2 linked regions of the Diceros bicornis minor genome follow. The protein of the gene in region 1 interacts with the protein of each later gene in a biochemical or structural test. Links are inferred from orthologs where the notes say so. Each region holds a gene or a part of one and is shown in the gene's direction. Other genes may lie near its edges. The genes, in order: DGKZ and SNTB2.

Region 1 (7,484 bases):
GCCCGCCCACCCACCCGCTGCCTGCGCTCGCTGCAGGGCCTGGAGCCACTGCTGGGAGAGGAAGTGCAGTCGGTTACCAATCGGGTTATTTTCATAACGGCTGTCTCAGGCTGGGGGGAGGAGGGTGGTGAGGGGGAGGGGGCAGAGGAGCAGCCACAGCCGCTCGCTCTCCAAACTAGGACTTGCTGAGCCAGAGGCCAGCAGCCTGGAGCTGGAGCCAGAGCCGGGGCTCGCCCGCCCACGGGGACCCCGGCCCCCACCCGCCTGCCCACCTCCTGCCTGCCACCCTGCCTTCCAGATCAGGTCAAAGGGGGCTCCCCGCAACCCTTCTTTGTCTTCTGCTTCCTGCCTCCTCTGTCTGTCCGGGTGGGTCTGGGGAGGGGTGGATCAGGGTGGGCCCAGGCACTGCCATCCCTAGATGAGGCTCCTGAAGCTGATGGAAGGGGACAGAGACAGGGAAGGTGGAGCTCCCGCCGCCCAGCCCGGGAGCCAGGCAGGCCCTATGGAGGTAAACACTACTGGCCTGCTCGACTTTACTGCGCAGCCCTGGCCCACCTGCTCCCCGCTGTGCATTTTTGTTTCATTTTGTTTTTTGGCAGGATCCCCTTGGTGAGTAGAGACCTTGGGGAGGCTGGGACCCTGCCTCGCCAGTCCCCGCCACCTTCCCTCCTACTTGGGGGCTGTGGGAGCAGAGCAGCCAGAGGTGGCTTCTGCCCAGCCGCCCCCTGGGGAGGCAGCTCCAGGCCCTTGCTGTGGGGCTGCTGGAAGAGGGGCCGCCGTGCACCATTCCCAGCCTGCACTCAGGAGATGGGCGTGTGGGGCTCTGCCCGCAGCGTGGAACTGGCGCTCGAGCGGAATCCCACAGGGTGTCCTGTGCGGGCACCTCTGGAGGCAGGGGAGTTCCTGGGGGCCGGGCCTGGGACCAGGGGCTGAGCAGACACCAGGTGGCTTGGCTGGCAGGCTCTGTTCCTCATGGGTGGGTGGTGGCCACCCTGGGTACTCCTGCTTCCCTTTCTGGGTTCCCACCCTGCCATGGGCAGAGACAAGCCCAGGAGGTGGCATGATCCACACGCCCTGGTGTCTGCTGTGGGTGTAGGCGCCTACTCTCTGCCGGGTGTCATATCCTCAGGTACGTTATCCCATCATCTCGTCAGAACATCCCTATGCCAGCCTTCTGAACTAGTGGTATCATCCCCCTTCTGCAGGTGAGAATACTGAGACTCGGAAAGGTTGGTTGATCAGCCCAGGAAAGCAGTGGCAGATGCAGGGTTCCAAAGCCTTTGGGCTTTTCCACTTGCAGCTATCATAGGGGGTGAGATGGTCTGGGCTAGGAGGCAACGTGTCCCGTCCTTTCTCGCTGGGGCACGCATACCTGCTGACCCCCACTGTCAGGTGCCTTAGCTCGGCTGCCCGCAGCCCTGCTTGCTGCCGCTCCTCGAGACAACGTGGCCAGACACCACTGTGCATGTCTCTCCTGGACCATCTTTTGTCCTCCCCAGCCCCCAACAGCCAGCTGGAGGTTGATGGGGCCCCTGAGTGCTTTCCCATCCTGTCCCCTTTGGGTGTGACAGGCTTCCCCCAGGCCTCCCACCGGGAGGCTGAGGGATAGCCGTTTTGCTCTGCTCTTGGTGTCAGAACCCTGTGGGGCCTCCTCCAGTGACCTTTACACATACTGTGTGGTGTGTTGAAAGTGACAGAGCGGGAGGTGAGAAGAAGCTGCTGCTCTGAGCGGTGCTGTGGGAAAAGGCTCCAGGCCCAGGCAGAGGAAAGGCTGGGACAGGCCGGAAGCTAGGCTGGGCTTCCGACCAGACCCAGGAGAAGCCTCAGCAGAGATAGGAAGTCAGGAGTCAGGCAATTGCTGACCAGAGGACACAGGTTTCTATGGAGACCAGAGGAACAGGAAGCATGGGGCCTGGGTGAAGGGACATGGGGAGCGTAGAGGCGTGGGTGCCTGGCAGGAGAGCTTGTCATAAAATGTCAAATCCGCCAGTCTGACAGCCTCCTTGAGCAAATAAGGAAACTGAGGCCTGTGAGGGGACAGCTTGGCACATGGGCACACAAAACTGGCCTAGCCTGCCTTGCTCCCTACTTGAGTGACTGCACCATAGGGCAGCCAAGGAGACTCCAGGATAGACGTGGATTTGGGGCTGCCCGGCAGGGTGTGGGCCAGAGCGCTGTGGAGCACCTGTAAGCTGCCCCTGGGTCGTGAGGCAGGTGTGCAGGTGACCTCTTCCTCCTGGCACCTCTCGTCAGTGTGGGTTCAGGGCAGTAGGCAGGGCCCAACCCTCAGCACCTCCCCCACTGACTGTGGCCTTTTGTTTTCTGGGTGACACTAGCATCAGGCGCTGTGTCCGGCTGACTAATCTCCTCCAGTCTGGGCAGCTGTCACAGGGCAGCCTGACGAGACGGGTGGGGAAAGCTGACACCCCGGGGGAGTGCTGGCAGGCTGGTGCCCTGGCAGCAGTGGGCAGCTGGGCCTTCAGGCTCCTCTTCCTGGGTACAGGGCAGACCTGGGTTCAGGTCCAGGCTCTGGCACTGACCAGCCGGGTGACCTTGAATATGTCTAGCACCTCTTCAAGCCTCAGTTCCCTCATCTCTATAATGGAGCCATTGGTCCGTCCTGCCTACAGGGTTGTGGTGGGAATGAAACGAGATGATGAATGGAAGTGCTTAGCCCAGGGCCTGCCCCACAGTAGATGTTCAGTAAATGGGACCATTGTTGTTCTTGCTATGGTTCCCTTCCCTACCGCATCCCACTTTAGTCCCAGCCTTGTGGCCCAAAAGGGAAGACCCTACTCTCCTCCGCATCTCTGGGGTGCAGGCTTTGCCTTCGGGTAGACTTGGGTTCCAGCCTAAGCTCTACACTGACTAGCTGTGGACTGTGGACAAGTTACCTCTTTGTGCCTGTTTCCCATCAGGAATGCCGCATGACACAGTACCTGTTCTTTGGGTTTGCTATGGTTTATGAAACGATGTACATGTTTGTAAGGGGCTCAGCACCGGGCCTGACACATGCGAGCTCTCAGTAAATGTGAGCCGTGATGATGCTGATTTTGGGAGGACGCCAAGAGCTCTCTGCCCACAGAGCTCGCCTCCTGCCCTCTCCCTGTCACCTGCAGGGGAGGAGGACTGTAACAGGCAGGGCCCAGGAGCCGGGCAGTCTCAGGCACTGCCTCCCCAGGCACAGCTGCCTCCACTGCTCCCTGATCACAGGAGCTCAGACACCTTGGCACCCATCCACCTCCCCCTGGGGACCCCTGCACCCATCCAGGGCTGCGGCCTGATGCTGCCTGCCCAGACCCACCCAGTCAAAGAGTGTGGTGGGTGGGTGGGAGGAGTAGGCACCAGACATGTGGCCGAGGCCTGACTCTTCAAGTCCGTCATCTCCCACCGTTTGTCCAGGGCTCCCACCCACCACGCCTGACTCTGCCAGGCCCTCAGCAGGCAGAAGTTATTTCTCCTGTCAGCCCCAGGCGGATGTCCCACGGCCGTGATGGACCCTCCTGTGGCTGCCAGGGCCCAGGAGAGCACCTGATGGCAGGACACAGGCGTCCCTGGGCTCTCTGGGGGCATCGCCCCCTGAAGCATACCTGGTTTCCTGCCCTTCCCCCAGCGTTAGGGAGAGGTGAGGGCGCAGGTGGTCCCAGCGGCTTGTGACAAAGGGGCGGCAGGAGTAGGTGAGCGGGCGAAGAAGGCAGAGCGTGTGTTCAGAACAGGTCAGAGGATGGCTGGAGCAAGGACGGTCACCAAAGGTCCTACCTCCCTGCAGGAGGGAGCTCCAGGCAGCTCAGTGTTTGGGATTTTGAGAGTTGGAGCTTCTGCCTTGGCCCCAGGACAAGGTGCCGTTCACCGGCTCCCGCAATGGCAGAGCTGGGTGGGTTTTCACACGTTACCCGTCATCACACGTGGGGCATCCATACTCTGCCTCTTCAGAAGGGTGAGACAGAGCAGTCTGGTTCCAGAAAAGTCCTTACTGTCAGCTCCTCAGAGATACAGACACGCACTCACACCCAGAATGCAGAAGGCTGTTCTCTTAGCTCAGGCCTCTTGCTGCTTCCCATAGGAAGTTCCCGTGGGTGAAGGCGGCAGTGGCTTCTCTCCTGTGCAGCTGGCTCTCCAGTTCTCTGAGGGCCTCATCTCCCCTGGGTCCTTTTTTTTTTTTTTTTTTTGTGAGGAAGATCAGCCCTGAGCTAACATCCACACCAATTCTCCTCTTTTTGCTGAGGAAGACCGGCCCTGAGCTAACATCTATTGCCAATCCTCCTCCTTTTTTTTTTTTTCCCTTTTCCTTCCCAAAGCCCCAGTAGATAGTTGTATGTCATAGTTACACATCCTTCTAGTTGCTGTATGTGGGACGCGGCCTCAGCATGGCCGGACAAGCAGTGCGTCGGTGCGCGCCCGGGATCTGAACCCGGGCCACCAGTAGCAGAGTGCTGCACTTAACCAGGCCAGCCCCCTCCCCTGGGTCCTTTGATCCCTGAGTCAGATGTCAGACCCTCTCCATTTCCGCGTGCGACCCTCAGCCTGACCCAAGACTGGGGCCAAGAGAGTCTGGGGGTCTTATCAGGACTGAGTTTCTTTTCAGAGAGGCTTGTGTATGCCTTGGTTTGTGCCATGTCCCAGGAACAGACACCTAAACCTAACCTGCCCCATGTTGGTGGCAAAACAAAATCCCAACGAGGGGGAAAGCCTTGCTCTCGCCCTCAGTCTAACTAGTCCAACTCCAAACTGGAACCCAGGCCTCCTCCCGAATTCCAGCTTCCTTTTTCTTTTCTTTTCCGTCAGCTTCAGGCAGGGGAGCCAAAGTCCTTTAGAGGCCAGGGCTTTGTGGATCATGGTGTCTGGATAGGGGAAGCCCCCTCCTACCCCTTACTCCTGGCGCAGCCTGACGGTGTAACCAAGGAGAGCGCCGGTGCTTCCCAAAGCGGGAAATCTGTGCTCCCCTGAGGATTCTCTTGTACCCTCAAACACCCCATTGATGGGGGTCAGAGGCCGTTGTCCCCCACCCTCCCAAGTGTCCCCTCTCTGCTCAAAGGGCAGAGGCTGTGACCGGGCTCCTGGGCACAGGATGGGCCGTGACCTGGCCCAGCTCCTGATGCTCCCGGTCTCTGTGCCCAACAGCCACCCGCCTGCCCCTGCCATGGAGACCTTCTTTAGGAGACACTTCCAGAGGAAGGCGCCAGGCCCTGGAGAGGGGCAGCGGCGGCCCAGCGGCGTGGGGCTGCCCACGGGCAAGGCCCGGCGCCGCTCCCCTGCCGGGCAGGCCTCCTCCTCGCTGGCACAGCGGCGCCGCTCCAGCGCACAGCTCCAGGGCTGCCTCCTGGGCTGCGGGATGGGGTCCCGGGGCACCAGGCGCCGGCGCTCCAGCACCACACCCCCCGCCTGCAACCCCCGCTTCATCGTGGATGAGGTGCCCACCCCACAGCCTGCCACTGTCAGGGCCCAGCTTCTGGGCACACCTCTGCTGTTGGCCAGGCTCATGGGCATGAATGAGGAGGAGGAGGAGGGGGAGAGTGTCCAGGAGGAGGATGTGACAGTTGCAGCGTTGAGTGTGGCCCAGCCAGGCACCGAGAGACCAGGGCCACCCGCACACCAGGGCGCCCATCCCCTGCTGCCCGTGCCCCGCTGCCTGCGCCGGCGCCGTGCCTCCTCCCACCTGCTCCCTGCTGACATGGTGTACGACTCTGCCCTCTGGGGCCTGCACGGTTACTACCGGCGCCTCAGCCAGCAGCGGCCTTTGGGCCAGCACCCTGGCCCTGGGGGCCGAAGAGCCTCAGGCACCCCAGCCAGCCCCGCGATGCCCGCCCGTGTGCGCCCGCTTTCCCGCAGGCGCCAGGTAGCCCTACGGCGCAAGTCAGCCGGACCCCAGGCCTGGAGCACTCTGCTTGCGTAGGTATAGCTGTGGCTGGCAGGGCGAGTGGTGCAGCCTCCAAGGGGGCTGCCGCGGAGCAAGGACCTTGAGGCTCTGCCTGGCCTGAGGGCACCCTGCTTTGCAATAGCTCCGGGCAGTGCCCAGCAGCCAGCGCGCCCCAGAAGGGCCGTGAGGAGGGCAGAGTCTCCTAGAGGGGTCCTCTCAGAGCCTTGGGCTGCCGTGGGGGGTCCTCTACCGTCCCTACTGCTGTCCCTGCCTTGGCCTTGGAGTGAGGTCACAGTGAGGGCAGAGATCCCAGGTGAGGGGGGAAGGAAGCAGAGTTACCAAGTGCTCAGCTGGCCTCAGCTGTCTCCTTTTCTGTAGGAAAGCCATCACCAAGTCGGGCCTTCAGCACCTGGCACCCCCTCCTCCCACTCCCGGGGCCCCGTGCAGCGAGCCAGAGCGGCAGATCCGGAGCACTGTGGACTGGAGCGTGAGTGGCTGGGTACCGACAGGGGCAGAAGGGTACCAACCCCCACAGGGCTCTGGGAGCAGTCGGGGGTGGAGGTACTGTGGGCAGCTGCGAGAGGAGTGCGTGGGCCTGTGGGATGGGGGCAAACCTCCTGGGGTGGCCACATTTGAGCCAAGCCTTAAAGAGTAGGGACAGTGGGGAAAACGGGGTGGTGCAAAGTAAATTGTGGCATCTGGAGCAGGTTTGTCTTGGGAGAGAGAGGGTTGATGGGGCAGGGCAGGGGTGACTGGTGAGCTGGGCGGCAAGCGTGCACTGAGCATGTTTGTCCCATGGTCTAGGAGTCAGCGACATATGGGGAGCACATCTGGTTCGAGACCAACGTGTCGGGGGACTTCTGCTATGTTGGGGAGCAGTACTGTGTAGCTAAGATGCTGGTGAGTGCACTGTGTGCGGCACGCTGCCCCCTGGTGGTGGAGCAGGGTCTAGATGCCTCTAGGCCAACCCCTGCTGGCTGGACACCTGCAGTCCTTCCAGGGGAAGGTGAGAACAAGGCTCTCACCTGAGCACCCCTGCTGTGGGCTGCCTGAGGATGGCGAGAGGAATGGGAGCTGTGTGCCAACTCCAGGAGCCAAGAGTGGGGGTTCCTGGGGCACACGGAGGGCTGCTGTGCTGGGGCAGATGTGAGGATTCCTTGGCCTGCCCTGGAGTAGCATCCTGGACGGAGCCACCTGGTGCCTCAAGGGCCCCCTTGCTCTTTGCTGCAGCAGAAGTCGGTGTCCCGGAGAAAGTGTGCAGCTTGCAAGATCGTGGTGCACACCCCCTGCATTGCACAGCTGGAGAAGGTGAGTGTGGTTGCTTGGCCTTTCCCGCCCCGCCCCTCCGGCTGCTGAAGCCCTCTCAGCACACACGTGTGCCTGCACACGCGTATTCACGTTCCACAAACATCACCTGCTAGGGGTGCCACAGCATGCGTGGTGGTGAAGAGCCAGGGACCTTGGAGCCAAAATGCCTACGTTGCATCCTGGCTCCCCGTTTATTAGCTGATGTATCCTCACTGCCTGGAACAAGCCTGGCACAGAGCGCAGCTCATTGACTGTTACTCAGCGGGATGAATTAATGAATGATGGCCATGACACCATTTTATCAGTATCAAAACTACGA
Region 2 (7,867 bases), on another chromosome or scaffold:
GTGCGCGTGCTCCGCTACTGGCGGCCCGGATTCAGATCCCAGGCGCGCACCGACGCACTGCTTGTCCGGCCATGCTGAGGCAGCGTCCCACATACAGCAACTAGAAAGATGTGCATCTATGACATACAACCGTCTACTGGGGCTTTGGGGAGTAAAAGGGAAAAAAAGGAGGAGGATTGGCAATAGATGTTAGCTCAGGGCCGGTCTGCCTCAGCAAAAAGAGGAGGATTGGCATGGATGTTAGCTTAGAGCTGATCTTCCTCAAAAAAAACAAGACCCTGTCTCCAAATATAATCACATTCTGAAGTACTGGGGATTAGGACTTCAACCTATAAATTTTGAGGGGACACGATTCAGCCCATGACAGAGTCCATAGAAGGGCTTCAGGGGCTTTGTGAGCCCCCAAGTGTGAATGCTGAATTTTGCACAGGTGTGCATTTGTCTAAGGTGTGTCCACAACATGCAACTGACTCCTAAAGGGGTCCGTGATCCCCACACCCCACAACTGGCTGTTGCATTAACTGACTTGGGAGGCAGTTAAAGCTGTGGGACAAAGGCCTAGAAATACCATCTGCATCGATAGACATGATTTGGTGTTCAATGGTATATGAAAAATGAGAGTTGAAGCTGACTATTAGGACTGTAAGTCTTAATTCTGAGGCACTGGAAATTCTGTTAGAACTGGTATTGGGGGAAAGGGGATTTTTATTTTTGGACCTTACTTGAATTTCGTGGCAAATTATGTAATGTCCATGATTGTCAATAAAAAACACTGGTGATTTTCCATAACTAAGTGGATTCAATGAAACTAACCTTCTGCTTATTATGTCCTTGCTAATATTTTCCTAAAAAGAAAGTCACAGAGCTACAAAACTGTCACCAGCTGCTTCTCATTAGGAATGTGGTTAGCAGATGTGGGTTTTCATAGTCATAACGTATGAGATAGTTAATCCATTTTTGTGGTTTTCAGATGGATGATGATTTATCTTGGCAGGATGAATTTTTAAATGTGCTTACATCAGCTAAAGGATATATGCACCTTTCCCTCTTTCACTTCATGTTTGTGCGGGAGAGAAAAATACCTTTTAGGTTATTTCTCCCGGAAGGCAAAGGAGTACTGTCTGTTGAAAGGGACAATTGATCTCACTGTCTTCTAACTGAGGAAGAGTTGTGTGTGGATAATTTTGCAAAGTTAGGTGTTGGATTGGTTATCTTACAAGCTTCTTTCTCCCTTTGGCCTCTTCTTTAGTAGTAATTGAGCAGTTCTTGCTTTTGTTCCTCTGGCGTCAGGCCGCCTCTGTGGTAGTGACCTTCAGGCTTGCTAAGGGCTGCAATTTTGCCTGGGGCCCTCCTTCCTTATGAAATTGTGTACACAACACTCAAACCTTGGAACCAGCCCCAGATCCACTAATTCTTTGCTTTGACGGACTCTTGGCAATATGTTCTCCCTTTCAGCTGAAGTGTAGCTTTATACAAGATCTGTTTGTCACCGAAATTAATTTGGCCATTTGCCATTTAAGCCTGGAATCATATGATACTATGGCAGACTCATTCCTAGATAAAGTCTAGACTCTCAGCTGCAGAGTTTCTACCAAAGGTTTTATTGTTGCTGCTGCTGAAGGTCAACAGGTAATATACCAGCAGCAGGTACTTTTTATGGACCTCTTACCCTGTACAGGTACAGTGCTGCTAAACGCTTTGCATATGTCATCCCAGTCAACCCTCGCAACTGCCCTTAGAGGTAGAAGGTAGCTGAATTTTTCTGAAGAAGAAACAGGCCTGTGACCTCAACCTTTTGACCGTTATCGTATATACCTAGTAAGTGGCCAAACTACAATTTGAACCTTGTGCTCTTAATTACTGTGCTATATTGTACATCCACTGTGAGGGAGAAGAAAAAGAAAAGACCACTGGTTTTTGAGAGAGCATAGAATCAGAGCCTGAGTCATAGAATTGTAGGAAATTATGGAACTGAGAGAGCTAATCCAACCCCCTCATTTTAAAGTAGCAGTGATCCCTGCCTTGTTCTGAGAAATCGTAAGATAACAGCTTGAGCACAGGAGAATACGTATTGATAGGTGACAGGAATGAAGGGTTATGAGGAATTATCTCAGCCATTTCCTTTTTTAAAGGTAGATAAAATAACATGCCTGTTCAAAGAATTATCTAAGCTTGTCTTGCTGTCCCTAAGAAACCGTGGACACAGATGTGTACTCTTTTTATTTCAGATTTCATTATCCACAGTAAGTAGATTTCCACTGACTACTTGAGATTTCCTAGATGGTAATTTTCACTCTGCAAGGAACCAGTAACCTTCAGAAGGATTATTTGAAACGACTACAGCACAGGAGGCACTGAATTTCAATCAATCACATGTTTAATGAGTTCCTTTTCTGCAAGGCAGTATTTTTGGAATAGTGGGGAATAAAAAGAAGTCGATGGGTGGTCCCTGCCTTCCTGTATTTTATAATCTACTGGGGCAAAACAGCCAAGCGTAGAAGAAAATTGTTCAAAGGAAAAATTGGGTCGTTGGGGAAAACTGGGCTGAGATCTTGCTAGGTGGGAAAGTGGTAGAAAGCGGCAGGAGGTGTTTGGAAGGAAGGACTCAGGAATGTGCAAGGCGTCATTGAGAGACACTGACTGGATGAGTTTGGCCGATCAGAAAGTAGTGATGAAAGAGAATGTTGAAAATTAATTTAGGTTCTGATGGAGGACCTTGTAAAAGCAGCTCAATAATTTGGGAATGTTTTATGGATATATTTAAAAATAATTTTTTACGTAGAAACCCGCAAGTAATCCAAATATCAATCTCCATTACTTTCTCTCCTCCCAGGTTTAAATATTATGTTATATAACTTACTATCTTATATATAAGCACCCTCACTTACCATTTAGTTGGAAGATCTATGACTTCCTCCAACTCTCTTGACCAAAAGGTCTTCATACTCTTGGAAGGAGTTTCCAGCTTCCCTTTTGCTAATAAAGGTGTCCTCAAGTGCCCAACCCTTTGTGAATATGTATATAAAAGTGTTGAAAATAGTGCTCATACTCTAAGGGATCAGCTGCCAAGTGCTCTCTAATAAGCAGAAATTTCACATAACTCAGGCCTCTGGGGGCTCATGCCTCAGCTGGAGAAAAGCCAGAAGTGTCTGTGACTGCAGGTGCGCTGGGGCACATTGGGACCTGCCAAAACAGCTAGCTGGCCTCACTGCAATTGATTTAGGAGAGGGCTAGAGGGTTGAGCTGCTGACATTTGCAGCTCGGAAAATCCTGCTCCATTAATTGCAAAGAAGATTCTGCTGTAATGATTTTTTTGGTAAGATACTTTTCTTATTTTGAATTCTTCCTTCATTTGGGCTCTGGTTGCTTTCCAGTCTCTATTTTTATGGTTTTAACTCCTGGTATAGGAGGCTGTTTGGAAGTTTCTGCCCATACATGCATGTGCATTCATAGAGTGGTGCGTGGACATGGCTTACGAGCTTCAACATGTACTTCATGAGCAAGCAGGTATGCAGCCCCTTTTACAGAAATTGGTGCACATTCCTTCTGCTTGCACCAAATGAAAACGTGAGGATTTCGATTTTATTGCTGAAGGAAAGTTAGACGGCACCTTGAACTCATGTTTTTGCTAAGATCTCTCTCAGCAGTGTGATTTCTGGACCCTCATTTTTGAGGTCTGAGGAATGTAGTCAAGAAAAGCAGTGGACCAGGAGGTGGGAGACCAGACAGTTGTCTCTGCTGCCTCACTGTGGGCTTGGAGCTCGAGTCTTGGGCTCTCCAGGCCTCAGTTTCCTCTGCTCTTCCAGCCCAGGAAGCTGGAAGAAGTGGGTGGATTGCATCACCCATGTCTTAGGATAAAAGCCACTGCAGGCTCTGCAGTGTGCATACAGTTTCTGGGGATGCTCATCTACACTTACCCCAACAAAGGGCCGTGGCCTCCAGAGTAAGAAAGTCAGATCTACAAATTCAAGTCCAAACACTCCAACATTTGATTATATGAGGCTTTTCACACTCATATCCTGCCATCTCCAGGGACCCGATGCTCTGTTCACGTTGGAATTCTGGCATCTTCCTAAGTAATCATCATTCTGCAAATATCTTTGCGGCCAACCTATTGTGGCTGCAGGGCTGAAGAAGACATGGTGCCCTCACACATTGCAGGTAGGAAAACAGGTGATTACAAAGCAGAGTGACAAATGCTTTGATTCATGCCTCTGGACCTTTGCTTATGCAGTTCCCTCTGCTCCACCTATTCACCTTCCATTGTCACCTCTGTGCAGCTGACCTCGGGCCCAACCAAATGTTTCTTCTACTCTGCTCTCAGAGCGTTGTCTAGATGTCACTTAACCACATAGTATCACACTAGGTTGATTGGTTCTCCGTTTTCCTCCCCCACTAGACCGCCAGCTCTCAGCTGTGGTACGTTTTATTCAGCTCATCTCCAGGCCTCAAAAGGAGCACACGGCGAAGCACTCAATAAAGACGGAATGAACCAATCAATGCAAGAGTGAACGTGCAACCCAGTCTTGCAGGCTTGCAAAGTGCTTCTTGAAGCTGATGTTGCCTTCCGTGCCCAGGCAGCTCCGGTGAATTGCACGGTAGAGGTCAGGAGTTTGCGGGGGCGGGGGGGTGGTTGTTGGAGGCGAAAGGAAGGAGAACGCGAGACTAAGCATCACTGCGCTCGGGCTGCCCACGTCCGGTGAGCCGCAAGGGACTGGACTGCGGGCAGCTACTTAAGCTCCCGGAAGCGGCTCGGCCGGCCTCGCCCCTCCCCTCCGGAGGTGGGCGTGGCTCATGAATAATGAATCACCGCCGGGGGGAGGGGGCCGGCCCGCCCCCTCGAGCGGGAAGAGGGAAGCGCCTAGGCTGCCTGACTGGAATGAGGGTAGCTACGACGACTGCGGCGGCGGGAGCGGGGCCGGCCATGGCGGTGTGGACGCGGGCCACGAAAGCGGGGCTGGTGGAGCTGCTCCTGAGGGAGCGCTGGGTCCGGGTGGTGGCCGAGCTGAGCGGGGAGAGCCTAAGCCTGACGGGCGACGCCGCGGCGGCTGAGCCCGAGCCCACTTTGGGGCCGGCGGCGGCCGCCTTCAACGGCCTCCCGAACGGCGGCGGCGCCGGAGACTCGCTGCCCGGGAGCCCGAGCCGCGGCCTGGGTCCCCCGAGCCCGCCCGCGCCGCCCCGAGGCCCGGCGGGCGAGGCAGGCGCGTCCCCTCCTGTGCGCCGGGTGCGGGTGGTGAAGCAGGAGGCGGGCGGCCTGGGCATCAGCATCAAGGGCGGCCGCGAGAACCGGATGCCGATCCTCATCTCCAAGATCTTCCCGGGGCTGGCGGCCGACCAGAGCCGAGCGCTGCGGCTGGGTGACGCCATCCTGTCGGTGAACGGCACCGACCTGCGCCAGGCCACCCACGACCAGGCCGTGCAGGCGCTGAAGCGCGCGGGCAAGGAGGTGCTGCTGGAGGGTGAGCGGGGCCGGCGGGCGGCCTGCGGGCGGGCGGCGCAGGGCTGGCCGTTGCTCACTTTGTGTCTGCCCCTTTTGGGGAGCGAGCCCGCTCCCCCTTTCCGAGTCCTCGCCTTCCCCTCTGCTGGTGGCCCGGCTCTCCCCAGACCCGATGTGCAGGGGCTTTGAGGATGGAAAAACTGATGCTCCCTGCGGGAAAAGTTGGGCAGCCGCCGAAGTGTGGCTTGCAGTCCCTAAGGAAGACTCGGTTGCGATTTAGTAAAAAGCAGGCGCGCCTGAAGCCCGCCTCTGCACGATAAGCTGACACTAAGAACTAGAGGGAGACCGAACGGCTCGAGTTCTGGAGGTCTCCGTTTGCCTCCTGAGAAATGCCGGGTCGGCATTTTCATCACTCACCTCTGGCTCCCCGGGGCGGGCAGCTCTGTTAAAAAAAAAAGAAAAATCAGCCCCACCGATGCCAGAGGTATTCTTGGGCAAACCACCAAAACGCTGGTTAATGTGTGGGAATTTAACCCATCATTGGCTCTCAACAATAACCAAAGGAGATCATAGCACTTCATTGAAGCCAGAAAGCTGAAACAGCAAGTTTGTGTGGTTAATGAGCCTTGTTTAACAGTGGAGGCTCACGTGTTTGAACATTTACTGCCAACTAGAGTTTTGCCTCTTTTGCAAGAGGCTAGTGCCAACTTCCTACCATTCACAGGCCTGCTGCTTCAAGGCTTTAAGCTTTTTAGAAGCTTGAAATGTTAAATCTCAAGATATATTTGAATATCCAGGATTGTTTACCTTAAGTATATATGTGATCTATAACCTGGATCTTTTATGATGAATTTATGGAACTAAGACAAAATTAAATCTCATCTCGTTGAAGGACTTATGCATGTTGGAGGTGATAAAGTATTGTAAGTGTGATCTGAAAAGCCAGTTGCTTGCTTCAGAAATTTTTGAGCCATCGGCTTTCTTTTGCTGTTGATTCAGTCGCTCAAGAAGCATTTATTGCTGGCTGTATAGAAGAGAATATAAAAGGTGATGTGTCTCTAGTTGGAGAAATGATAGAAAAATGCAAAATGTCTTACAAGTTATTGATTATATAGTGTAAACTGTATATAAATGCCAAGGGAATGCAAAGTTAGGATGTAGTTAGTGGAAATCAGGATTAGTCAGGGAGGACTTTTTCAAGGAGCTGAATCTTGAGCCAGGTCTCCAAGGAAGTGATGGACATAGACAGACAGAGATGAGTCAGGAGAGTATTCCTAGCAGAGGAAGAACAGAAGGGAAGGGGTGGGGAGTAGGGGTAGGAAGGAACCAGTTATCAAACTGAGAGGCCAGAAGTCCAGCTTGGCAAAGTGATTTTCACTTTTTTCCAAATCTGCTTGTAAATATTTGGAAAAATATTAGTTTGCAAGTAAGTGATTTAATGTGCTCCAATTGTGAAATTCCAGTGTCCCACCTTTATAGTATTCTATTTATAAATCTTATTTATATCTCACTTATAGGTTGGGCTAGACACTGCTCAGAAATTAGTGTTAATAAAAGTAAAATTATAGATTGTGGCTTGGGTGGTGCATGTGTAAAAAAATTGTTACCGTAAACGTGTACCTTGAGGGGCGGGCCCCGTGGCTTAGGGGTTAAGTGCACGCGCTCCGGTTAAGTGCACGCGCTCCAGTTAAGTGCACGCGCTCCGCTGCTGGCGGCCAGGGGTTTGGATCCCGGGCACGCACTGACGCACTGCTTCTCCCGCCGTGCTGAGGCCGCGCCGCACATACAGCAACTAGAAGGATGTACAACTATGACATACAACTATCTACTGGGGCTTTGGGGCAAAAAAAAAAAAAGGAGGAGGATTGGCAATAGATGTTAGCTCAGGGCTGGTCTTCCTTAGCAAAAAGAGGAGGATTAGCATGGATGTTAGCTCAGGGCTGATCTTCCTCACACACACACACACAAAAAAACAAAAACATGTACCTTGAAATTGGTCTAGCTAAGCATTTGGTTATAAATTCCTAGAGTCGGAATATTGAATGTAGTACTATTTGTGTAGTACTCAGTGGTGATGGTCAGACATTTCAACTCTTTACACCATATTTTTTTTAAAACCAGTTTTTGTTTAGATATAATTTGAACATGGTATTCATACCAAGTAAATGAAAATCATCTATCAAATGCTTCCCAGTATTCATTAGTCTAAAATAGGCCACATGTGCCTTTAGAAGGAGTTTACAAATGGCAGCATAATAACATATTTATTGAATGCCTTTTTACCTAACACAGCTTCTACTTTATTTTCCCATTTTGTAAGAGACAAGCAGTTTTTGTCCTTACATGTGTGGCGAAGTATGAAATTGCACTTTTAAGCCAAGGGATATAAAAATAAAATTACTTAAAATATGCAGAATCATTGAAAACAGT

What was found.
Region 2: the proteins of DGKZ (region 1) and SNTB2 form a complex in vitro, tested with the Homo sapiens proteins (2 studies listed by BioGRID and IntAct, with this or other methods). The link is inferred for Diceros bicornis minor from reciprocal best matches to the Homo sapiens genes DGKZ and SNTB2.

What each region holds. Positions count from the first base shown.
Region 1 is NC_080770.1:23,872,497-23,879,980, reverse strand, and holds the start of DGKZ (diacylglycerol kinase zeta), read left to right. Parts: upstream 1-4,281; 5' UTR 4,282-4,978; coding exon 4,979-5,889; intron 5,890-6,235; coding exon 6,236-6,344; intron 6,345-6,661; coding exon 6,662-6,757; intron 6,758-7,087; coding exon 7,088-7,165; intron 7,166-7,484. UniProt on the Homo sapiens protein: Diacylglycerol kinase that converts diacylglycerol/DAG into phosphatidic acid/phosphatidate/PA and regulates the respective levels of these two bioactive lipids.
Region 2 is NC_080771.1:20,699,886-20,707,752, forward strand, and holds the start of SNTB2 (beta-2-syntrophin), read left to right. Parts: upstream 1-4,845; 5' UTR 4,846-4,879; coding exon 4,880-5,459; intron 5,460-7,867. UniProt on the Homo sapiens protein: Adapter protein that binds to and probably organizes the subcellular localization of a variety of membrane proteins. May link various receptors to the actin cytoskeleton and the dystrophin glycoprotein complex.